5 linked regions of the Cricetulus griseus genome follow. The protein of the gene in region 5 interacts with the protein of the main gene of each other region in a pairwise test. Links are inferred from orthologs where the notes say so. Each region holds a gene or a part of one and is shown on either strand. Other genes may lie near its edges.

The links.
Region 1: the proteins of protein LDOC1-like (region 5) and Krt15 interact in a two-hybrid assay, tested with the Homo sapiens proteins (2 studies listed by BioGRID and IntAct). The two-hybrid records come from large-scale screens. The link is inferred for Cricetulus griseus from reciprocal best matches to the Homo sapiens genes LDOC1 and KRT15.
Region 2: the proteins of protein LDOC1-like (region 5) and Nxf1 interact in binary tests that used the Homo sapiens proteins (3 or more experiments, as listed by UniProt). The two-hybrid records come from large-scale screens. The link is inferred for Cricetulus griseus from reciprocal best matches to the Homo sapiens genes LDOC1 and NXF1.
Region 3: the proteins of protein LDOC1-like (region 5) and Psmf1 interact in binary tests that used the Homo sapiens proteins (3 or more experiments, as listed by UniProt). The two-hybrid records come from large-scale screens. The link is inferred for Cricetulus griseus from reciprocal best matches to the Homo sapiens genes LDOC1 and PSMF1.
Region 4: the proteins of protein LDOC1-like (region 5) and pleckstrin homology domain-containing family F member 2 interact in binary tests that used the Homo sapiens proteins (3 or more experiments, as listed by UniProt). The two-hybrid records come from large-scale screens. The link is inferred for Cricetulus griseus from reciprocal best matches to the Homo sapiens genes LDOC1 and PLEKHF2.

Annotation. Positions count from the first base shown.
Region 1 is NC_048600.1:112,451,641-112,457,074, reverse strand, and holds the start of Krt15 (keratin, type I cytoskeletal 15), read right to left. Parts: upstream 3,578-5,434; coding exon 3,089-3,577; intron 2,228-3,088; coding exon 2,145-2,227; intron 2,027-2,144; coding exon 1,870-2,026; intron 1,465-1,869; coding exon 1,303-1,464; intron 1,204-1,302; coding exon 1,078-1,203; intron 920-1,077; coding exon 699-919; intron 305-698; coding exon 279-304; coding exon of another isoform or gene 269-278; intron 1-268.
Region 2 is NC_048596.1:51,335,507-51,340,964, forward strand, and holds the start of Nxf1 (nuclear RNA export factor 1), read right to left. Parts: upstream 3,578-5,458; 5' UTR 3,423-3,577; coding exon 3,395-3,422; intron 1-3,394.
Region 3 is NC_048599.1:28,279,320-28,284,574, reverse strand, and holds the start of Psmf1 (proteasome inhibitor PI31 subunit), read right to left. Parts: upstream 3,578-5,255; 5' UTR 3,431-3,577; coding exon 3,302-3,430; intron 1-3,301. UniProt on the Homo sapiens protein: Plays an important role in control of proteasome function. Inhibits the hydrolysis of protein and peptide substrates by the 20S proteasome. Also inhibits the activation of the proteasome by the proteasome regulatory proteins PA700 and PA28.
Region 4 is NC_048595.1:125,130,093-125,135,629, forward strand, and holds the start of pleckstrin homology domain-containing family F member 2, read right to left. Parts: upstream 3,578-5,537; 5' UTR 3,296-3,577; intron 1-3,295. UniProt on the Homo sapiens protein: May play a role in early endosome fusion upstream of RAB5, hence regulating receptor trafficking and fluid-phase transport. Enhances cellular sensitivity to TNF-induced apoptosis.
Region 5 is NC_048604.1:11,335,615-11,339,197, forward strand, and holds protein LDOC1-like, read right to left. Parts: upstream 1,920-3,583; coding exon 1,467-1,919; downstream 1-1,466. UniProt on the Homo sapiens protein: May have an important role in the development and/or progression of some cancers.

The sequences.
Region 1 (5,434 bases), on a different chromosome or scaffold from region 5:
TGTGCATGAACAGGAGTTACCATGAGTATCAAATCACTCCAGCATGATGGTGAGATAGGGTAGAAAGGCAAGCCCTTATCAAAGCCTGCTCGGCCTGGAATGTTCTTAGGAAACTTCTAATCTCAGTCCCACCTAGAGTCCTTGGGGAAGGGGAATCTGGAGCAGGAGTAGCCTGACATTGGGATATCTGTCTCCTCCTCCTTCCTCCCCACTATAGGTAGAATGCTGCCTCCAATGCTCTGCTCCCACCCACACCGAAGGGGTTCACCCTCTCTTACCTTCCCTGACACCGATGCCAGCCATCCTGAAAGAGAAGGGACACTGGGTGTAAGCCAAGGAAGAAAGCGCCAGTCTCCCTAAAGGAGCCCTAGTGGACAGCTGAGCGGTCCTTTCCAACCCCCACACCACAATGACTTTTCTAAGGTCAGTCCTGGTGGTCAGTCCCTCAGGCTTGCCATCCCAAACAGACAGATGGGGAGTTGCAGCCTGTGCCCTGTCCATCATTTACAGGAGAAGCACAGGTCCAGAGCAGAAACAATATGCCCAAAGTAACAGCTGAACACCAGAATGGAGACTCCAGACCCCTTAGGTCTCCTTCCACTCAACAAAGCAGCTCTTGGGATACCCTGATTTCCTCTTCTGATGGCCCTGGGCCATCCATCCATCCCCCTTCTTTCTCCCTGCACCTGTACACCTACTTAGCATCCTGGCCCTCAAGCAGGTTGCGGTAAGTGGCGATCTCCTGCTCCAGCCGAGTCTTGATGTCCAGCAGCATGTTATATTCCTGGTTCTGAGCTTCCATCTCACAGCGGAGCTCGCTCAGCTGGCTCTCCAGGCTGCTAATAAGCCCCTGGATCTGCTGCAGCTGTGTGGCATAGCGGCACTCCACCTCTGCCAGAGAGTTCTCCAGCCCGGCTTTCTGGTGGGGTGACAGATGCATAAACCCATTGGGCTAGAAGGCAACCCACTGGAGGGAGAAGAGCAGGAAGGGTGGTAAGGACTGCCTGAGGTGACAGGAATGTGTGAGGTGAGGCTTTACTGGCCATGTGTCACCCAGTAGGGAGAGAGTGACCGTACCATGCTGAGCTGGGACTGCAGCTCGATCTCCAGCCCCTGCATGGTGCGCCTCAGGTCTGTGATCTCCGTCTTGCTGGACTGGATCATTTCTGTGTTGGAAGCTACCTCCTTGTTCAGCTCTTCCGTCTGCAAGTCACACATGAGAAACATGAGCCTCATGGGCCTCCTCAGAGGCCTCTGGAGTGGGAAGGAGGGAGAGAGCAGAGCTGGGGGTGTCAGGCCCACCTTACTGAAGAACCAGGCCTCTGCATCCCGACGGTTTTTCTCCGCAATGGCCTCATATTGTTCCCTCATCTCGGCCAGCATGCGGGTCAAGTCCACCCCAGGTGCAGCGTCCATCTCCACATTGACCTGGCCCGCCAGCTGACTGCTGAACTCTTTCATCTCCTGCAAGGGGTGGGAGTGACAACCATTTAGAGACAAGGCTATAAAGCAGACAAAGAATCGAGAGTCCTGAGGGCTAACTCTGACTGTCTCTAACTCACAATGTGACCTTAGCACATCACACCACCCTATCTCTATTCCCCATTGGAACACATGGACCCCTCAGTTCTGAGGATCTCTCTTGCTCTGGGTCCTAAGAAACAAGGACCTTGAGATAATAAGCCCATGAAGCAAACCAATTCTGCAGTTCACACATGGCTTGGCCTTGGGTCCAGATTACCAGAGATTAGTGCCCCTTCTCTTCCATGGGGCCCCCCAGGTACATTTCTTAATCCCCAAGCCCTCAGAGGACTGTGACAAAAGACTGGCTGTCCTGGGCTTCTTCCTACCACCCTGTCTTGCTGTTACCTCCTCGTGATTCTTCTTCAGGTAGGCCAGCTCCTCATTCAAGTGCTCAATCTGCATCTCCAGGTCGGTCCTGGCCAGGGTCAGCTCGTCTAGCACCCTGCGCAGCCCGTTGATGTCGGCCTCCACACTCTGGCGCAGGGCCAGCTCGTTCTCATACCTGGGGAGGGGAGAGGAGCCAAAGTCAGGAAAGGTGAGGGGCCCAGGTTCTGAGTCATAGAGGAGGAAGGCTAGGTAGAGGGGGTGAAATGGACAGGGGTGGAGAAATGGGAACACACTTGAGCCTGAAGTCATCCGCTGCCAGCCTGGCATTGTCAATCTCCAAGATGACACGCGAGTTGTCAATGGTGGCCGCCAGTATCTGCAGGAGACAGAGTTGTACCTTAGGGCTGCTGCACGACCCCCTTCGCCAACTACTGCCCAGCTTCTCTTCCTGTGTGCATCAGTTGTGCTGGCCCATGCTCCCTTCCCTGTGGCATCTTCAAGGAATGGAAAACTAACGAGGCAGTATTGCCTGGGATTGCCTGGGGGCATGGCTAGTCAAGACCGTGCTGCAATGGATACAGTTGGCTCTGTCAGGTCAGGACTCTCGGGAGACACACTATACCAGCCTACTTGGGCACAGCTCACAGTGGCTGCCTCCTGCGTGCCTTGACAGAGCCCTTCATCTCCAAAACATTGCAGTCATTGGGAACTTGGACAGCAGCTAAGGAACGTGTTTGCCACTAAGGAAAACAGATCCAGTTAGTTAAAAGGGAAAGTGAGGGGGTGGCACAGCCTCCACTGAGTTCCCTGGTCTCCTAAGATCTAGCAATGATCAACAATAAAGACATCCTTGAGGCCTGAAGTAAACAGCCCTGGCATTTAGGACTCTTGAGGTTGTGCCTGAACAGCACACGGGTCACAAAGTTAAAGCAATCAGTTGCAAAAATCCCTGAAAGTTTTTGTGAGGCAGGGAGAAGGAGCTGCTCTCTTTTGTTGCCCTCATTTGCAATCCTGTGTATCCAAATCAGATTCCCAAGACCACTCCCTCCCCTCCCCCAGCACTGCCAAGTGGAACACGTGTGTTCCCACATGTGCCTGGGAAGCAGGTGCATCCCAGCCTTGCCAGGTTACACAGCAGGGAAGGACTCTCTTAGTCAACAGCAATGTTGCTGTTGCATATGTGTACAGGGCACCTACTGCCTGTTTCCCTCTGTCTGACATATATATGAGGACTTACTTTGTCCCGGATCTCTTCCATGGTCTTAAAGTAATGGCTGTAGTCTCGCTCCGGACTGGCTGGGCTCTGCTTCTGGTACCAGTCTCGGATTTTCACCTCCAGCTCCGTGTTAGCCTGCTCCAGGGCACGTACTTTGTCCAGGTAGGAGGCCAGGCGGTCATTGAGGTTCTGCATGGTGATCTTCTCATTGCCAGAGAGGAGACCTCCATCGCCACCACCAAAGTCACCAAAGCCACCACCAAAACCCCCACCAAAGGCTCCACCAAAACCGCTACCAGCACCACCACCAAAACCACAACTCATACCGCCCCCATATCCCCCTCCTGCCCCCGAGGAGACGAACCTAGCAGAAGAAGCAGAGATGCTTCGGCTCCCACCTCCCCCGTAGAGACTCCCTCCACCAAAGCCGCCTCCACCAGCACGGAGGGAACCCCCTCGGGTAGAGCCACCTCCAAAGGTGGAAGAAGTTTGCAAGAATGTGGTGGCCATGGTCAGGCAGCCTGAGCCTTCGTGTCCTTTTCAAGCAGGAGGGACTCTAGCAGGAGCTTCTGAGCTGGGCTGAAACCAGGCTGCAGTGCTGTCGCCCCTAGCCTGGGATTCCTTATATACTGTTTCAAGGGGGTGGGGGCCTTGCCTCCTCCCCCTGAGTGGAGCCAACTCCTCTGCCTTCCAGACAAATACAGCTGCCTGCACACCTCCACAGGGCTCGCTTGTGGTGAGTTTTTCTTTTCTTTTTTTTTTTTCTTAATGCAACAAGAGAGATGATTCAGAATTAATGGGGTTTTGCTCTAGGCCATGGTTTTAACACTTGGATTACAGGTTCATTTCTCACTCCAGGAAGGAGAAGAGAGCCACAAGAGCAAACCCTCAGCATAGCACCCAAGTTCCCTCATGTCCCATCCCGTTAGAGCAGCCAGGCCAGCTCTGCCTCCCACCCCAGCCCACTGCTGGCATGTGAGCCTCACCCCAGGTAGAAAGCTTCCTGCTTTCAGTTTCTCCCACCACTGCTCTGTACTACCTACTCAAACGCCCTATACATAGCCTTCGGGACATGGAAGTCCCCGGGAATGAGAACACAGGTGACCACAGTGCAGGCTAATAGGGTCTCAAGTCAACTTCCAAACGAGTTGACCAAAAAAGCCGGTGCCTGTCCCTCTCTCCCATCCCTGATACCTGGGCATGCTCTCTCCTCTCACAGCCCTCCCACCACCCCAATTCCAGAAGTCCCTCCTACCTCTTCAGTTCCCCCCCCAGCCCAGGGTCCTGGCTAGTTCACAAAAGCCCAGAAGGCTCAGGCTGACAGGAGTCTGATTGATGGTCCTGTCACCAGCCAACTGCACATGTCACTGAACCTCTGCTTGCTCCCAAGACGCGTTGGGGCAAACCTCTGCAGATAAGACCCAGGCGAGTTCCAGAAAGTCCCCCGCCTTCTTCAGCAAGAGACATGTCGCTGCTTAGCAGGGGCCAGATTAACCCCCATTTGCCTTGTCAGCTGCTGCCAGCTGGGGAGGGGCTGAGCTAGAGGCTCTGCTCTGCGTGCCTAAGTACAGGGAGGAAGGCGGAGGCAGGAAGGGGGGCTGGCAAGCAGGTGGAACACATCAGAGCTCAGAGGCCAAGGAATCAGTCACTGCAATACTGAGGCCAAAAAGGACAGGGTCTTCTGCCACCAGCTCTAACAGCCCTATTTCTCTAAGACAATGGCACTGTGGGCAGTGCCACCCAGACTGGAGAGAATCCACAGGAGGGCTTCTAATGGAGAGCTACAATACGAGAAAGTGAATAGGGCTCCAGCGTTCCTTGGGCCTGTGTTTAAACCCCATTTCTATGAATGACTCCTGTGAAGATCTGTACTCGTCAGTTTTCAAGGCTCAGCCTCTTTGTGTATAGGACACTCACTTTATGGGACATGCTGAGACTCAAGATTCCCATTCTGCCTCTCCTGACTCCCCATTATCCATCTGAGGCAGGGTGATAGCTGCAGGTCTGGCACCTGCACCTCCTGAGACCCCCTCCAGGAAAAAACGCTTCCCTCGGACTTGGAACACTCTCAGGCTCGTCAGCTCCAGCTAGCCATCGGATGACCCTTCTTTTTGCTGTAACAGGATAATCCTCTGCTTCTGCCCCATACGTTCATGACTGACAAAGTACTTCTGTACCCACAATCCCCTCTAATCCCATGACACAGAGCACAACTGGGACCCAAGTTTCAGAAGGAACGAAATGAAGACTCAAAGGGGTGACACCATGAACACAGGACGGCCCACCTGGAAAGGGGATTACCAAGACTATGTCACCCTGACACCCACACCACCCACCCAAGCAAGATATAGAAAACTTTCCTGTTAT
Region 2 (5,458 bases), on a different chromosome or scaffold from region 5:
AGAGATGGCTCAATGATTAGGTCCCAGAATTGGTTCCTAGCACCCACATGGCAGCTCCCAACTGTGCTCTGCAATGTGAATGCTGGGAAATCAAAGCTGGTCCTCTGGAAGAGTAGTCAGTGCTCTTAACTCATCTCTTCAGCCCCCTACAGCTTTCTAATAACTTGTTTTTTGATGTTTATGACCTATAAAAAGTTCTTTCCCCTGGCCAGGGCACAGGTGTCTATGTGGAGGTAGCCTTTGTAGTTCTAGGGGACCCAATACCTTCTTCTGGGCTCTGCAAGGACCAGACAGAAAACTAAATCTTTAAAAGAAAAAGTAATGAAAGGTGAAAATATCACAACACATTGTGTATATGTATAAAATTGTCAAAAATCATTAAAGTGAAGGGCTAGAGAGATGGCTCAGAGGTTAAGAGTACCGACTGTTCTTTCAGAGATACTGAATTCAATTCCCAGCAACCATATGGTGGCTTACAACCATCTATAAAGGGATTTGATTCCCTCTTCTAGAATGCAGACAGAACACTATATACATAATAATTTTCTTTTTTTCCAAGACAGGGTTTCTCTGTATTGCTTTGGAGGTTGTCCTGGAACTTGCTCTGTAGACCAGGCTGGCCTCTTAACTCACAAAGATCCACCTGCCTCTGCTTCCCAAAGTGCTGGGACTAAAGGCATGTGCCAGCACTGCTGGGCCTAAATAAATGTTTAAGAAAAAAATTTTGAAAGAAAACAAGTGAACCAGAAACTAGTTCCTACATAAAAAGTAAAACATGGCACCCCTGAAAACCACTTGAAATTTTTGATCTTTTGCCTATACATACAAATGAGGGCCACAGAGCCAGATGTGGGAAACAACTGTAATCTCAGCAAATGGGAAGTGGAGGCCTCAATTACACAAGTTCAAAGCCATCCTGGACTACATGATCCTGTCTCAAAAAATGAAAAAAAAAACTTACAAATATGACCTATTTTAAAACCACATAATAGCCAGATGGTAGTGGCTCACACCTTTAATCCCATCACTCGGGAGGCAGAGGTAAGTGGATTTTCTGTGAGTTAGAAACCAGCCTGGTCTACATAAGCTAGTAACAACCACCACCTCCTTGCTCTCAAACTGTCCTTCTGAATTTGGGCAATGCTCATTTCTGTGAGCAGAAGTGACTGCACCTCAAGGGACTTCTAGATGCAGGATCAGCTGGCAGTTCCACATTAGGGTCCTGGAGTGTTTTCTAATACACATGTGTCCGAAGCAGATCTCTGAGAGTTCAAGGCCAGCCTGGTGTACAAAGTGAGTTCCAGACAGCCAGGGCTATTACACAGAGAAACCCTGTCTCAGGGGAAAGAAAAAAAAACAAAAAACAAACAAACAAAAAAAACAAAAAAAAGGAAAATGAGCTGGACATAGGCAGGCAGATCTCTGTGAGTTTTCAAGGCCAGCCTCATCTTGGTCTATACAGTGAGTTCCAGTCAGAGCTACATATTGAAAAAAAAAAAAGAAAGAAAAAGAAAAAAAAGTAAATAAATGAAACCAAGTGCAGTAAAATACTGTGTTTATGTTTTTTAAAATTTTTTCTTTTTTGGTTTTTCAAGACAGGGCTTCTCTGTGGCTTTGGAGGCTGTCCTGAAACTAGTTCTTGTAGACCAGGCAAGTCTCGAACTCACAGAGATCCCGAGTGCTGGGATTAAAGGCGTGAACCACCAACGCCTGGCCACAGTATACTGTTTTTAAGGCAAGAGGATCAGAGGGGCTCAAGGTCACCCTCCTCTTTGTAGAGTTCAAAGCCAGACGTTGTGTATAGGTTTATATGTATATACATGTAGGCACTAACACAAAAGGAGACTGAGGATCAGCTCAGCTGGTAAAGTGCTTACCTTTATCCTTCACACACACACACACAGACTGAGGTTGAGGCAGGAGAATTTGAAACTTCAAGTCAGACTGGGCAACTTAGTGAGACCATCTCAAAACAACAACAAAAAGGATGAGAATTTAGCTCCATGGGAGGGGATTGCCTGGTGTATGCAAGGCCTAGTGTTCATCTAGCACAAAATAATAAGTCTCGTGGTACGTGCCTACAATACCAAACTTGGGAGACTTGCACTGAAAGACTGACTATGAGGCCAGCCTGGGGTACTAAGACTGGCCCTATAAGGGAGAATTAGTCTTCAACGGGGATGAACTCCCTAAATGGTTATCCAAGGCCAAATGGTTAGCCTTAAAAATAAGTACATGCTAGCTACACTAAATGGACTCAGGTTGTATGAATTTGGGGAGTGGGTAGACATGAAAGTAACTGGAGGGAGATCCTGTTAAAACACGTACATACATACATACATACATACATACACACATACATACATACATACATGTTGTTTGTTTGTTTTTTGTTTTGTTTTATTTTTCCAGGCAAGGTTTCTCTGTGGCTTTGGAGGCTGTCCTGGAACTAGCTCTTGTAGACCAGGCTGGTCTGGAACTCACAGATCCGCCTGCCTCTGCCTCCCGAGTGCTGGGATTAAAAGTGTGCACCACTGCCACCCACCATATAATTATATTTTAGTTAAAATAAAGGTTCACTGGGCTGAGGATTTTTCAGACCCTGGATAAATCAGCACCACACAAACACAAAAAGGTTCATGACTTCCAAAGAAATCTACCTCATATCTATCGTCCTGTAAACAATGACCCTCACCAAGTGACTCTAGTGAAAACACAGTGCAATTAAGGTTCACTGAAAAATCTTCACTTCCAGCCACTTGACAGAAATTATCTCATACACACACACACACACACACACACACACACACACACACACGCACGCACGCACGCACGCACGCAAACTTGGGAAGACAAGATACCCACATGAAAGAGGCGGAAAACAAGGCCTGAAAGTTTAACTCCGTCGGGGTTAGCAAAGCCAACTCCAGATTCAATCACCTGTCATGCCGTCCTAAACACCACTATGAATTAACCCATCAAGGTAATTGTTAGAACTAGGAAACTGGTAAACATTAAGGAGCAAGCTGAAAGACCAACTGATCGCGTTAAAAGAAAAAAAAAAATAGGGCACCAAAGCAGCCCACGAACAAGGTACTACTGACTCACATTTAAAGGACGAGTCGGGCCGCCAAACTCAATTGACAGGCATCAACCACCCTCAAAGTTCAAAGGAATCTTGTCACCCCACCCTGAGCCACAGGTCCTCCAACGCCAGAATCCGGGCGACTCTGGAGCCCCTGTGTCCCGCGGCGCCCCATCCTTGCCCGCGCGGCCACCGCTGCCCACGGACACAGAACTCCTCGCGGCCTCCCGCCCCCGGGCTTGCGGCCTAGGCCGGGGCCGCCCACTCCGGCCCACCGCGCCGCCTCCCGACCCGAGGCCCCGAACTAACCGTTGTATGACTTCCCTTCGTCCGCCATGGCACAGGCAGGTACAGGGGAGGGCTCAGGCGCAGAACCTGACGACACCAAACGCCCAGACGTCTTGGCGCTCAGGACTGAAGCGCTCCTACGACCGGCGCCACCGCATTTATCCGGCGAAGCACGTCGCGCGCCGCCGACGTCCCCAGGATGTGGGCGGTGCCGCGGGGCGAGAACGCGCTCTCTGCGCCTGCGCAGAAGCAGGGCTGCCTCCAGAGGGCGGGGCCAGGCCCTTCGAGGCCCGCCCACGGCCGTAGCTCGGGGCGCAATGGCTTGTTGGCCGTCTCTGCCTTCCTGCTTCTCCACTGTCCCAGTTGTGTCGGGGTTTGCTCTGGAGTTGAGCGGGCTGCTTTAGCCCTGAATTCTTGAGAATCGGGGACCAGAGCCACACAAAATGAAGACCTAGCCTCTGAGTGGGAGTAACGGCTCACAGTCTCCGTCGGTGAGATTCCCGGCAGCTTGTAAGTCGCAGCTCAGCTCCTTGACAGCCGCACGCCTATTCCCTCCCAGCTTTCCTCGCCTCTACGATGGATTGTGACGAAATAGAAAATTGGAATGTAAGCTCCACCGGAGCAGGAACCTTAACTAATGCACAGCTTCTCTTCCTCCAGCCCGCCTGGCTCAGTACCGAGCCAAGTGTGAAACCTGTGTGAATTAAATGAAATCCTGTCTCTTTTAGGCCCTCCACAAATTGTTAGGAAAACAAAAACAACCCCTCCCCACCCCCCAAAAAACCAGCATCAAGTCCCGCATGATGGCGCACACCTTTAATCCCAACATTTGAGTGGCAGAGACAGGTGGATCTCTGAGTTTGAGGCCAGCTTGGTCTACATAGAACTTTCCAGGACAGCCAGGGCTATGTAGAGAGATCTCGCTTCAAAAAATCAAACTGGGCATGGTGGTTTAATTCTTTAGTCCCAGTACTTGGAAGTTCAAGGCCACAATTGTCCATACAGGGAACACCCTGACAGCCAAAGCTACATAGACAGACACTGTCTCAAAACAAAAATAAAATGCACCTGTCAGGGACATAGTGAGCACTGGTCTTTACACTCGAGGTCCTAAACACCATCATCCCTATTAGGTAGACCCAGATCAGCTAGGTGGACAGGGAGTCAATAGTAGTGATTGGATTTTATTTTTGGGAGTGTTTCTCTGTGTAGCCCTGGCTGTCCTGGAACTTGCTCTGCAGACCACATTGGCCTCAAGCTCAGGAGATCCACCTGCTTTTTCCTGCAGAGTGCTGGAATTAAAGGCGTGTGCCAAGAGCTCTTATAGATGACCTTCAGTGTGACTAGGGCTGACCCTATTATGGCCTGAGATTCCTGAACCTGCTGGGGGCGGGGGAGTAAGCAGATGGGACATCCATAGGCATGGAGCAATGACGTCAATACTAATCAGGGCAAAATAGCTTATTAACCTTCCTCCAGAGTCTGTGTTAGGTGGGTTGCCTCCATTTTTTCAGTGGCAGGTTTGGATTTGCTGAGGGTCTTAGAAGGTGCCAAAAGCTGGGTCCAAATTCTCTTCTGCTCCCAGCAACAGAGGTCTTGCTTCACTGAATTCAAGAATCAAAGCCACGTGATTTGCGAATACAGATGGAAAACAGGCCCCAACATAGCTTGAGATGTCCTAGAAGCTGCCACCCAGTTAAGAATCCATTAGGCTCCAGTTCAAAGGAAAACTCTGCTAATGAAGTGCTGTTATACTTGCTCCCTTTCTCGGAGGGAGTTGTAGGTACACAGCTCCAAAGCTACCCTGCTTATCAGTGAGGCCCTTCAGAGCCACCAACTCAACCCTTTTGGTTCTGGTATTGGGCACGATCCCACCCAGAAATGACAACATCACTACTGAGGCTGACAGTCTTGCTGTAATTGGGAGGAAACAGGTTTGCAGCACATTTGGCAGATTGAGTCACCAGTAGCCAAAGTCAGGTTTGTGCAGGCAACTGAAGGGCTCAGAGCCTCCTCACCTCACATGGTGAAGAGAGGAAGGCAGTCAAGTTCTAACCCGATGGTAAAGTTGGTCCCTGGGATAGT
Region 3 (5,255 bases), on a different chromosome or scaffold from region 5:
GCATTAAAACATATATGTGTTTATGCAAAAACAATGTAAGAGCCAAAGGATGAGGAGGAATTCCATGAAACACTGTCCTCTGGGACACATCATGGCAATTGCACTCATGAACTCACAGCAGATATAGTTACCTACATAAGAACACGTCAACAAAATAAGCAATATCCCAGCAGGAAGCACTAACTGGACTCTGTGGGTTACAAAAGTGTGTGGGGGGGGGTTGGGGGACAGCTGAAGTGGGGATTTACATGGGGAGTGGGCAACTGGAAAATAGCTTATGGTTCAATATCATTTATGAAAAAAAAACTTTAAAAGCACAAATTTACACTGTCAACATAGAACAGCTTGACTAGAAGCTGTGTTCATGAGAACACGGTGGGGGAGAATTAGGCTAGAGATAGACAACACTGACAAAGACAAAGGCCCAGACATGAAGGGAAGGCCACCCCTGGTGCTTGGAAATCCATTGGCAGAGGAGTCCCAATCAGACTTGGCTAGGTGACAAACTACAGGAAATTCTCAAGCAGAGAAATGAGAGTAGTGAGAAAACAGAAGTGAAACTAACCACTGCCGAGAAACTACTCCTTTGCCTAGACTGGGCAACTCCTATAGTGTTGTGGGTTTTAAGGAGTAACTTTTGAAGATGGGGTGACATGCCTTATCTATATTCTGTCAAGACCTCTGACTTTCCCTTACCTCCACTTGTACAGCATTCGTCCCACTAGTATGCTCTCTTGGCATACAGACAACTTGTTCTGCTCTCCACCTCAACACTTTCATTCCAGAGCAAGACAGAATCGCTGGGGTCATGTAAAGCTGACATCTCACCATGGTGAGACCGGTGTTCCCCAGAAAACAGAAGTGGCCCAAGACATCAAGTGGCCGCCCTCTGCACCTTGATATAAAATAATATCAAGTGTCCCAGAAGGCCATGGTTGGCAAGTGACCAAAGCATGCTTGTATAATTTAACTCCCTCAGTTGATAACTCTAAGACCTGAGAGGAGCTGAGACCTATTGAAGGGCAGTGCAGGGCAGGCTGGAGATTTTCTCCAGACAGTCCTAAGAAGGTAAGGGTAGCTGCCATCCTAGGTGAAATTCTGAGGCTAGAAATATCCTTTAATGGTTACTGAGCTCACCCCAGGGCCAATGGGCTAGAATGTAACCAACCAACCAACACACCACACACACAAACAGGTCCTTTTCCCTTTCTTCATAATCTTCAGACTCCCATAACAGAAAGCCCAATTCTGTCTCTATGGCCATCTCCATGCCGTGCCACTTAAGCCATCTGACATAGCTACGGAGCTCTTATGGAGAGTAGCCCTGACCAATAGAGAGACCAAACCAATGTCAGATTTTTGTTTAAGTCAAGGGATCTGTTGGTCTTCAAATCAAATATTACACACACTGCTCTACAGTGGCAGACACAAAACCAAAGAGAAAGTGGACAATATAGCATTCTGTTTAACTGCTGAGTCGGTATTACACAGTCCAGTACATACTTTAAATACTTGTTTCCCTGTTATCACCCCCTGGAAGGGTGGATGGCAGGAGGCGGCTAGACAGGCAATACAAATAAATACACTCTATGTCTGGCAAGCATTATTGATTTGCTGGCTCTAAACTGGAAAATAAAAATTCTCTACTAGATAAACTAACAGGAAAGATGCCTCTCAAATTCTTTTGGCTTCTATTCTGAATGAGAGAACACTCGTTGGCAGTGAGTGGCCAAGGGCAACCTGAGCCCTGAGAGGACTTTAAGAGATGGGGCTACAAGAAACAAATGGCAGCACTCTAGTCCGAACCCAAACACTGTCCCCTCGAAGGGCATGCATGATTTAGTACGGAGGCAGACAGGGTCAGCAGGCAATACTTTCCAAAACCCCATCTCCCAGGCTCCTTGTCCTTCCAGAAGATGTCTGGATCCTGCATCTTTTAGTGCTGGGGAGCTACTTGAGGTTTGGGAGGAAACGGGGAAAGAAATCAACAAAAATTTTGTGTATTGCTTCCTTCTAATGAGGGTAAAGTGTAAACAGGGTAGAGTGGTCTGAGTTCCTAGTTTTATAGGACAGACAGGAATGGAACTCCAGCAGGGCTATGCCTGGTTAAGTGCTCAGAATGTTGAAAGTGTGTCAAAGGAGGAGTCCATAAAGTTGTGTGAGGAGAGAAAACATACCAAGACTCTAATGTATCTAAGAAGCTAAAGATTGTAGGGTTTTGGGAACCGTAGTTAGAAATGAGAGGAAGATTTAAAATCTCTCTGTAAGTTCCAGGGGGTGAGGGGACCTTCTTTCCAGGACTGGTCTGAATTTTGAGTGCCAAGACAGCAACATAGAGGGGCAAGCCTGGAGTCCTTGAGTCTCCAAGTACGTGTATGTGGGATTGTGGCTGGGAGTTCCTTTGGTGGAGCAGATAGGAAATGAAAGGCAGTAAGGGGACCAGGGCCAGTTTACCCAAAAACCTGCTACACAGGTAGACATGAGGGTCATAAGGAAGGGGCAGAGAAAAGGAGAAGGCTAGGGCAGAGAATCAGTGATGCATACTGGACCTCTATGGGGATGTCAACAAGGCCCCATCAGTTAAGAGGCAGAATCTGGAGATAGGAGAATAGATTGGATTCTGGTGGAGACAGCTAAGGGAAGAACACTCACAAAGAAGGCGTGTGTGTGCTGTAGATGAGTAGTGAGTGGGCTCTGGCTGGTCCATCGTGCTAAGTGTGTGTATGTGTGTGGGGGGGAGGGGGTTCTAGAATATGGCTGAGTAGATCAAAGCTCACCACCACAGCTGTGCTTGGTGTGCGTGTGACTTGAATGGTGTGTGTGATTGTGTGTGTGATGTGTGTGTGTGTGTGTGGGGTTCTAGAATATGGCTGAGGAGGTCAAAGCTCACCACCACAGCTGTGCTTGGTGTGCGTGTGACTTGAATGGTGTGTGTGATTGTGTGTGTGGTGTGTGTGTGTGTGTGTGTGTGTGTGTGTGTGTGTGTGTGACTTGAATGGGGTGTGTAGCATTGAGTAGTCCACGCCATGACTGTGTGTGATAAAGATGCTTTGGGGAAGTCGGGTGGATGAGGACTTTAAGGAAGCTACTAGTCTGTCTCGGCGTCAGATCCACACGACTCGGCCTGAGTGAAAGCGCCGGGACGCCTTTCGGTTACACACACGCTGTGCCAGCTGCTGGCACCAGCTCCAGGCGCGCCAAAGTGCGGCGTCACCTCGGGCCCTGGCTCGGCAGGGTCAGGCGAGCCCTCTGGGCCTCTGGTTGCGGGCTCCCCTCCACCCAGGCCTGCTCCGCAGCGTACCTGGTCGCCTGTGCCCAAGACATAGTAGCCGTTTGTCACCACTTCCCAGTGCAGGAAGCAGACGAGCGCGTCCTGCGGGCAGCTGATGGCAGGCGCGGCCGACGCGAAGAGAACCTCCAGGCCCGCCATGGACGCTCGCGGCTTCTGTGGGGAAGGAAGGAAAGGAGCTGGCAAAGAGCAAGCCGCGCCGCCTCAGAGGAGCGGGACGGCGAAAGCGGCAACACCAGGGGTGTTCCTTTCGCTTTGGGCTCTGTCCGCACCTGCGCGGAAACGCAGAAACCTGTGCCGGAAATAGCTCTTAGCTTTGTAGGCGCTCCGGGCTGGAACCGCCGGCGCCGCGCTGGAAGGTTCCGTTAGGGAGCACACGAGCGGGGCCGCGACTTCTCACAGCCCGATTCTGCTTCCGTCTACAGCACACCGACCACTCGAAGGCAGGCAGTTTATTCTTGGAGAGAGGCCACCTTGCTGCCAACTACAGTAGGCTTCTCATCTGCAAAGTGGAGTGCACTAGGGTGGGAAGTACTTAAGCAGTCTGGTGTAGATGTTTTCATAGTAATTTATTAGCATGCCTGCAGTGCCTGCCTGATAGCACCTTATTCTACGTGCTGAGCTTGAATGCATTTATTGAACTCTCCCAGATTAAATTTTATGCGGTTGGTATTAATGAAAGTACTGTTCCACTTTGTAGATTTGGAAACTGTGTCACTGTCAGCCAGTAAGTGATAGAGATGCGCCCAGGGGCTAGCAACTTGGCTTCTAGGATAGCATTTGAACATATAGATTTCACACTAAATCCTGTGCTAAAGCCTTTACGTCTCCTCGCGACAAATTCATGGGTCTATTCTATTACCTCTCCTAACTTTGCAAGTGACAAAACAGACCAGAGAGTTGTTGGCGCCCATGAGCGAATAGCCAAATATTATCAGTTGTTCTCCTACCTACCTCAAGATTTTTTTTTTTTACCACCTATTATGTCTCCCAAGTTTTTTGAAGTCCAGTACTTTTTTTGTAGTCAAATAAATTCACTTTCCCCATTTTGGTTGATACCATGACCCAAGCCATTGTCTTTTTTCACCTGGATACCTTTTCTGCTACACGATTTCACCCTGCAACCAGAGGGATTCTGCTGAAACACAAGGAGGACCATGTTCCTTAGGTCCAAACCACCCAGGGCTCCCTCCACAAAGGAGAAGAGAAGTCCACTCTGGGTCTGCCACAGGCCCTATGCCTTTCTAATGTCTCTTCCAAGTGTCCCTTCATCTCCTGTTCTCCTGACTGTAATAACTTTGACTTCCTTCAGCTCTCATGTCTAGGTGAACAAGCCATAGTCTTACCCTGATGGAGCTGTTTAGTGGTTAAAAAAGAACAGACAAAAATTAGTCCAGGGTGAAACCTGCCATTTTGGAAGTGCTCAGAGGCCTGTGCAAGCCCACAGGAATCCTGTGATTCAGGTGAGGGTCAGGAAGGGTTTCTTGAAGAAAGAGATGGATGACAGTATAGAAATCTGGTGGAAGAATAAAGAAAAACGTTCCTGTGAAAGGGAACAGGATGTGCAAAGGCACCTAGGTGTGAAATTCAGCTCTCCCTGTGTGGCTGGAGAATCAACACTGTCTCTCTCATCTCGGGCTCACCTTTAACTACCCTCCACACTGTGCTTTCAGAGTCGGCGGCATGCTGGGGAGTGGGGGCAGGCATGCAGCAGAGAAAGCTATCAGCACCAGTAGGGAGGAGAATTTTATCACTGAAGTATGTTAGAATTGTTGGTTCGTGATGATAATAAAAGGCCTTTTGGTCAGCTTTATTAATGCTTTTACGTGCCCCCCTTTTTGTAATGCAGCCTCTTCATGAGCAGCCTGTTCTCTTACTACTATCCCTTGTTTCCACACTGTTTTGCATATCATTGATTATGGCTTGCAGCCTACACACCTCCCTTTTCTTTTATACACCATTGGCT
Region 4 (5,537 bases), on a different chromosome or scaffold from region 5:
GAAACCTCGGATGTTTGAGGTCAGCCTGAGCTTCATAAGGAAACACTCTCCCAAAAAAGGAAAATACCACCAACAACAAAAACATAAATTAGGTACAGTAGGGGAAGGACTAGAGGCATGAAGATTGGGAGCCTAAGGTTATCCTCAACTACATATGGTGCTGGAGGGCAGCCTAGGCTACGTGAGACCCTGTCTCAAAAAAACAAACAAATATACAGACTAAAAAAAGACTTATCTTAGGTGAGGACAAGAAATTAATCCAAATTTTACAGTCCTTACAAAATTATAAAACACCTAGAAAAATTTCACTACTTAAATTAGCAGTGCAAAAGCACACTTAGGAAGCATTCTTATTTATACATCAGCCTGAGGACTGCTACAGAAGCAAAGAGCTTGTATGTAAAGCTGAGTCTCAAAGACTATCAATAGAAAAGCAGATTTATTCACCTTTCAATGATCACTGCCTCTGAATCAAAATTCTAAGACAATTATGACAAAACCACAACAAAATGTGTTTAATTGAATGGTATATATACACAAACATAACCTTCTCATTTTCTAGGCATTAATGTTTCTATTAAGGGCAAAATATTCAGTCACACTTTAAAGCAGTGATGTCATCCTTTCAAAGTTCATCCTTAGCTTCTCTCCACTCATCACAATTACATGTCAGTCATTATCCAATTGGAAATTTCATAAATATTCAAGTCTGTATCCCCATCAAAGTTCAGTTACCAAAGTTAATTATTTTTAGAAAGGAAGAGTCTGACCACAATCTGTGGACTTCATGGAGTTCACAGTATGAAGCAGAAAGACAACAGAAGTTTAACAACTGTCCCACAGAAATGACAATCTAGTAAATTCATGAAGCATATTTACAAGGAATCCATTCAAACCTTTCCTGAGCATCTGCTATGTTCTCAGCTTGCTGGAGAGAGACAAGCAAAGAGTACCGCACTCGATGCCCACTGTCAAGGACATGCCACAGAGCTAAGCAATGCTTCCAGGACCCTGTGGGGGAAGGGAACTGAGTTGTGGGGAACAAGAGGAAGCACAACCACAATGTGGGCAGAAAGGCTTCAAAAAGTACAGGAGAGAGGTTGTTTTGGTTCTGTTTGGGTTTGGTTTTGAGACAAGTTCCCACTTTGCATCCCAGATCAAACTCTGCAATCCTGCCTCAACGTGCTGGGATTACAGGCATGCTCCACTATAACACCCCAGCGTTAACAGAATGTTTGCAAGGGGAAAAAAATCTCAACAGCATAGCCTTGCATTTTCAGCTCCTTGGGAGACAGTTATACTAGAAAGCTAAATCCAAATCAGAAGAGGAGGTACAGGAAAGAAGAAACAAGATGGGCAAAGAAGGCCCCATAGGGATATTAGTATAAGACTTCACTTAACGATCAGCTTGACTGCTAGATTTGTGACATCGAAGTCAGGTAACTCCTTTCTTAATAAATAAATAAATAAATTTTTGTGAAAGAATTAATGTTTATGATATAATTGACCTGACAATGCAGCAAAGTAAAATAATTTTTTTAAAGAACCAAGGAAGGTGACAAATATAAGAAGGTACTTTTACCTATTAAAGAATGAAATGAGGGGGCATCGAGACAGCTCAGTGGGTTAAGGCACTTGAGGCCAGGCCTCACAGCCCAAGGTGGAAGGAGAGAAACAACTCCCAAAAGTTATCCTTTGACTTCCACACCTTGACACATGACTGCCTGCACACCCTCGTGCACACACAAATAAATAAATAAACAAACAAATAAATGATAACTAAAGGTGGCTCAGAAAGAAAAGTGCTGGCCCCCAAGCCAAACCACCTAAGTTGGATCCCATAACTCACGTGGTGGAAAAAAGAAACTCTGGTAATTTGTTTTGACCTCTCCACAAGTGCTCTGAGGATGTGTGCCCCCCCCCCAACACACAAATGAGTGTTTTTTTTAAGTAAGAGTAAAAATCGACACATTTTAGGGCTTTTGCATTAAGAGCCTTTTAGCCCATTTAATGTAATTTTAAAGCTGTCTTTATTTTTTTTTTAAATGATATTCATTGACTAGGCTTAATCATGTTGTACACCAGTTTCGTCTGGGGGAGGACGATTACATGTGCTTTCCAAACAAGCAACTTAATACCATCCACCTCCCAATGCTATCATGACCCACGGTAATTAAAAATAACCTTTGTTAATTCTGAATTAAGCCGAGGCCCCCATAAGCTACAAGAGTACAGAAAGAGATAAAGGCCAAAACTCACGCACCAATAAGGAACCAAAAGGAAAAAGAGTGGAAAAAAAAAAAAAAAGAAACGTCAAGATCACGTCACCCTATTCTGTTTGTGTGGTTGGGTGGTCTGGAGGGGGGTTTATTCTGACAGGCTCACTCTGTAGTCCAGGCTGGCCTCGAACTCAAGGATCCTCCGGCCCCAGTCTGCTGAGTACAGCCAACATACTGGACTTTATTCTTAAGAAAGTAACATATGCCTTAACTTCTCAAGTGAACGTTCATGTCTAAATGTTTCTTTAATGAGTCTCTTAGGCAAGGTAAAAAAAAAAAAAAAAAAAAAAAAAAAAAACAAAGAAGGCATTTACCAATTTCACGTACTAGGAGTCTGAATTGCTGCTTAGGTGTAACCTGAATTTTCTTCATTTCCACTGCACACTGAACACAACTTACAGCTTTAATATTCTAGGAGTATACAAGGCTACTCCGAACAGCTTCGGGAACCAGATCTCACCTCTAATAACGTTTAAAAAAAAGAGTCAGCAAAAGATCATAAAACTTTAAACACTCCAAATAGCTTGTAAGCCATTGCTTTAAATATCTTGTAAGCCGCTGCTCCCATCAGAGCCAATTTCTGCGGTGCCATTTTCATATAAAGTCATACAAAATACGCTGCTCAAGTCACAGCGCGCCCCTGACGCCCAGAGCCTGCGAAGTTTTCAGACCGCACGATCTGGGGGCCAGAGTGCTGGCGCCCCACAACTTCGGGCACGACGCGGGGTCCCGTCCCCAGCCGCCGTCCCGGGTCCCTGCCCTCGGGCCGGCGTGCCGCGGACGGGCGCGGCGGGACCAAGGCGGTTCCAGCCCGAGCGCCAGCCCGGAGGGGAGCCGCCCGGGAGCGCCCCGTTTCCCACAGACCCCAACATGGCGTCGGCCGCCGCCGCCCGGGCCAACACCTCCCCGCGCCGCGGCCGGTCCCGGCCCGCGGGAGCAGGCGCCCGCAAACTTTCCTTCCCCCTCCGCAGCCCGCCGCCGCCCTGCGCGTCCCGATCGACCCCCGCGGCACCTACCCGGCCCGGCGCGGGCGGCGGCGCCGAGGCTGCGACTCGTCCTCGTCGCCGACTCCAGCCGCGGACTCTGCCTGTGCCCGGGCCCCAGCTTCGCACGGTGTGTGGGGCCCCGCGAGGCCGGCGCGACGGGGACGCGACGGGCGCGAACGCTCGCAGGTGACTTCACCGCCCCTCCTGTCGAACCCGACAACGGCCGCCCCGCTGGCCTCCCTCCTGCGCGCGCACCGGCGCGCCCTCGCTCAAGCGCCAAACACGGGCACGAGCACATCCGCCCTGCCCTTTCTTCCCGGTTCCCTCGCCCCGCCCATCGCCTTGCCCCGCCCCCATCCCCGCGCGACAGGCCTGAGGGGCGGGGCCGTTGGCGGAGACCACACCCACTGGGGGGACCTCCCGGGGCGGGGCTGCGGGGCGCACTTCTCTGCTCCGAGGTGACGCGCGCAGAGGCGGGCCCGGGCAAGCCTGGGTCGCCTAACCTGACTTTCCTGACTCGCGCTAGCCTTGGGAAAGAGCTGTGGAGCGGTCCGCGAAGTTCTCGGGAAGAATGGACGGAAGCTGCCTCCACGCCTCCCTAAGGAACAGGAAAGAAAGGCTTTGCCTTTCGCCACCCAAACGCGTCTGCCAGCCCCGCCTGGCTCGGCCATGCTGCCGAGCACCTGCGATCGCGTTCTCCCAACGCCTACCCCCTCGAGCCATCTTCGCTCTGCGCTTACCGCACCCTGCTCCCGCACACTTCCTTGTAACTGTGAGCCTTAGAGCTCCGCTCTTCTCGAAACTTCTCTGGCCACGCACGGCCTCCACTACCTGCTTCGCGTACCTAGAACCCCGCGCTAAGATAACGTTAGTGAGACGAGCCCTGGCTCCTCAGTCCCTCAACACCGAGAGTTTGCTTAGGCGCTGTGGAGAGAGAGATGTATCCAACCAGGGGGGTGGGGATAACATATAAAGCACACTGTTTAAATAGGGAGGGGTAGAAAATGGGTTAGAGTAAATTTTATTTCAGGTTGTTGTTTTTTTTTTTTTTTTCTTTTTTTCAGAACTTCTAGTTCATAGTTTCTCAATCTGTGGGTCTCGGCCTCTTTGAGGTCGAATGACCTTTTCAAAGGAGTCACCTAAGACCAACGGGGGGGGGGGGAGAAAGATACATTACAACTCATAACAGTAGCAAAACTATAGTTGTAAAGTAGCAACAAAAATAGTTTTTTATGGTCGGGGCGTCACCACACATTAGGAACTGTATTAAAGGATCTTTGGGCAGCATTAGGAGGGTTGAGAACCACTGCTGTAGTTTTTGTTGAATTAGTGCGTCCACCAACCACGATTTCCACAAATAAGCCTGGAGTGAAAGTGGATGAGCAGGTTTGGAACTCCTTATGTCTGGAATTCTTTACATCCTCCCCACCCTCTGCAACAAAATTGGCAAAGGAAACCAATTGTGATACTAGGGATAGTTACAGGATTTCAATCATGCGCACACAATCTTTACATGTGTTAGACTAAGCACGATCTAAGATGCCTTTAGGAACTGCTTTGTCTGTGTGGTCCATTATAGAGCATTAGACACCAAACATTTTTGGTTGTTCATGTCATCCATAAAAACATTCCCTTTCCTAACAAAACACTTATTTAATTTAAATAAAGTACACAGATGCAAGCCAGAAAGTTTTCGCTTTGCCACTAACTATAATACTGTGTCCTTGGATATACTCAGTTAACCTTAGTTCCTTCATGTGTAAAATAGGGATAACAAAAGAAAGTATCTCAAAGAGTCATTAAACCAGTATGCAAGCACAAGCTGAGTGCTAGGTAAGTATGATGAAAATTATACATCTGTATGTTGTGTATGTGTGCACACATCTATTACAATTTACCTCATTTTAAAGTATTAAAACATACCAAACAATGGTTTAAATATTTGGAATGCTCCGTCAGTCTCTGTATTCTCCTCCCTTCCTTGGATGTGTGCTCCCCAGTTTGAAAGCCATTTATTTAGAGTCATACTGGCACTAAGCTCATGTATTTAATAAGTTTTAAATTTAAGATCTGGTTCGTTGCTGACACTGTTCTGGTGGATAACATATAGCAAGCTGAACAAAAGTCCCCTAATGGCATTTGAGACCTGACTCAGCCCTGACTGTTCACTTGGTGAGAGCTGTCAACCACCCTCACCTCTCAGCATGACAAGAGGATAAAGCTGAAACTAATCGACAGGCTGCCAATGGGGCGGGCGGGGGGGTGGGGGGGG
Region 5 (3,583 bases):
CAGAACAATGTCAACCCTAACTCCAGCCCATGCTCTACTTGAGGAGGCATTTAAACATCTTGCCAATCCTGCAGCAAATGTATAAATGGAAACTGTAAGGACTTCTGCACAAGGAGGGTAAAATGGTGACTTTATGCTATGCTGACCAAGATGGAAGATTTAACATTAGCTTAAGCACCTCACAGTTAACTAAGTTAGTTATTGGATGTCTGAGCTCAGCAGTCACCCACAAGTAACAAGGACCATGGCCAGAACTTCCCTGCTGTGTTAGGAAACTTAATTATGTCCAGGAATATGTCTGTGCTATTTGTCTTATTATTACTAATGCCCCCTTGTAGGGGAAGCTGTAGCCATGCCCAGGGGCTGGCTACAGCTTCCCCTACACCCCCTTCATTCTACAAAGTCACCTAATGTGACATGGTATGCCCCCTACTCAGACACCCCTTTATATGCCACCTTGGAGGCTCCACACAATATTCTTTCACCAAAGCTTGTAAAACACTATGGTATCTCTCTTCTGGAGCCTAGAGGTGAAAGCAAGAATACTGGAATTGAACCAGGTTCCCTGATCTCAATGAAATAATGGAGACGAGCGTGGCAAAAGCCAATGACGTCACTTAACCATGAAAAGACAACCTTTTTAGTTTTGCAGTGCTTGCTATTTATTGAAAACAATGCCATTGCCTTTTCCAGGTACTAGAGAGGATCTGGGCTGAATGCCTGTTGGCTCATTTTTTATTTTAGTACTACTTGTCCACATGTACACATCTGTGAGGCTGCTGCAAATCTGAAAGAAAAATGACAGCTGTGCAAAAGCGATGCATACAGGAAACGAAATGTCAACATTTCAACAGTCAGGCAGGCACATCAGGCTCCTGCAGCAATCTGGTCCGGCAGAGGAGGAACCTGGAAGTAGGTACAGAACTAACCAGGCTGTAAGAATGGCCCCTTCTAGGAGGGTTGGTGAACTGTCCAAATGAGAGTCTGAATAGATGTAGCCAACTCCATCATCTTCTTCCTGGTCCATATCTTGAAAAGTGGATGGCTGCAGATGAGATGCAGTGGGGGGTGGTGGTGGGGGGGGGTGAGGTGACAGGCATCCACTTCTGGCAGATGTAGATGGCGATCCATCAGAAGCCAGCGGCAGGAATGCAGGTGGTCTGACGAGTTCTAACACAGGCCTGGACAATGGCTGGAGCTCAAAACACAGTTCAGATTAGAAAGGTGCCCGGATTGGTTAAAATTGAACACTGTGAACCTCAGAGCCAGGCCCAGGCCCAACTCAAGCACTCGTAGCAGGTAATTGGCACAAAGACAAGCACTAAAAGGGATGAAGGAGCGAAGTGATTGGCAGGGAAGAGAATGGCAATGCAAAGGGGGGCACGGAGGCAGCAGGAGTAGCGGTGGGGGTAGGGAGGACGCAGCGTGCAGGGTCCTCCTCATGTAGGCCTAAGGGGGCTCGGGGCCTAGCAATCAACCGCTTCACAGTCGTCGTCATCATCATCATCATCATCTTCGTCGTCATACCAGCCAAAACACTGCTTCATCTCTTCAACAAACGCGCGATAATCACAGAGAATGGCGCTATCTGTCTGGATGTACGGCACCACCCAATCCTCGGCTTTCCCGGAGAGGAGGCTGATCAGGAATGCCACTTTCATGGCGTCGTTGCAGAAGCGGTCCTCATTCACAAGCATGTAGGACATCGTCTGCACAATAAACTCGGGGAGCCGGGCGTTCTCGCCATTAAACGGTGAGGGGAAGGGCACCGGACAGCTGGGCGGACGTACCTGGCGCAGCAGAATGGCCCGCTCACACACCAGCAGCCGCAGCTGTTTCATGAGCCGGTTGTTCTCGATGCACAGGTCGCGGTGTCGCACCAGCAGCGCGTGCAGAAGCAACACCAGCTCGTCCACCATGGTGACTCGCTTGGCAGGTCTCGGGCTCTCGGGCTCGGATCGGCTCCGCGGAGCTGCTCAAGGAGGCCGTAGAGGAAGTGCGTGTCCTCAGAGGAGTGCTGACCCTGGGCACTGCGCAGAGGGGGTCTAGCTGGTGGCGGAAGCTCCACCCACAAGGTCACTCTGGCAGCCAATGCGCCAGCGCACTGCGGTGAGAAAGGCGTGGCGGAGGGGAGTGCTGGTGGCGTGGGGGTGTGGCCAGGGTGGGACTGACGGACCGAGTGGACGTGGCCCAGGAGGAGGAAGGCGTGACCAAGGGAGCATCGCCCCGGGCCTCTGTCAATTCCCCCAGCCTGATGAAGAAACGCTGGGGGAGCCAAGCCTGCCACAGTGGAGGGCTGTGCGAGCATAGAAGCTCAGCACTCAGGGCTGGCCTGCTTCAGCTTAAACTTCTCTGCAGCCGACCTGTTCATCCAATACAGTGTTCCTCGGTGGGCCTGCAGCCATCAACATTTTTTTAGAGTAATGCTTTCTTAACACATTTCCTTGCTTGTTTAAATTTCACCCAGAGAAATAACACTGACACTGAGGGTCATACTGCGGGAGATCATTTGAGTTTAGAGACTTCAAGACTTGCAAGGGGTGCTTTCATTAAATACATAAGTAATTGTCAACAGGGGCTTCTCTTCAGTTGAGACAATTTCACCAAAAGATCTCCAAATCTGCACAGAGTATCCATTTGCCAACATTCTATCTTTGATTCTTTCCATATTCCTGTTATCAGTGCCTTTGTTCCTAAGTTATAAACTGTGATGAGCTCTGTAAAATAACTTTGTCTGCCTATTTTAAACGTCATTAGTTGTCGATAACTAAGTTTGGTCCAGGATCCTTGAGCTGATAGCTATTGGGTCTGCTTTTTAAAATACATCTCCACATTCAGTCACTTCCGGGCATCTCTGCTACCTCGATCCCAGCCTTCTTTCACGGTCTGGTCTGCTACATCTAATCCCTTAGCTGTCATTCTTCCCCTTTTCTGCATATTCTCTAGAATAGCCTCAGAACACTTTTAGAATGTGAGTTAGAGCCTTTCACTCCCCATTTCGACGTTCTCCAGCAGTTTTTCCCTCTCTGCTGCTCTGAATAAAAAGCAAACCCTTGGTCGTAACATACAAGGACCTCCTTCTGCATGCCCTTTTTACATGACCTCCTGTTGTCCTAATCTCTGCCTCGCCTGCTAATTCCTGCACACATCAAGCAGATCTCGCCTAATCTCAGAGCCTTTGTCCCTTCTAGCTATCTTTCCCCCTTTACTTGCCTACCTCATTTTATACTACTTTGAGAAAGGGCTTCCCAAACTGTCTCATCTATATGTGAATTGTCTGTCGGCATGTACAGCTCCAACCCTTACTTCACTTACCTACGTAGTATTTATTATATTAAATATCATCAGGTGCGTCCCCTTTGAAATGTCAGTCAGTGCAGCAAAGGGGCTTAGCTTTGCCAGCTGCTCTGTCCCTAATGCCTGCAAACATGCCTAGCCCACAGGAGTAACTCCAGATATCCGGCAAAGGAAAGGATCTTGAGGCACAGGTGTTGAGATAAAAATTAAAAGAGGTGACTTCACAGTATGTCCAGAAACACCCTCCAATTGCCCAGTATGTTCTAGCTCTGACCATAAAACAATC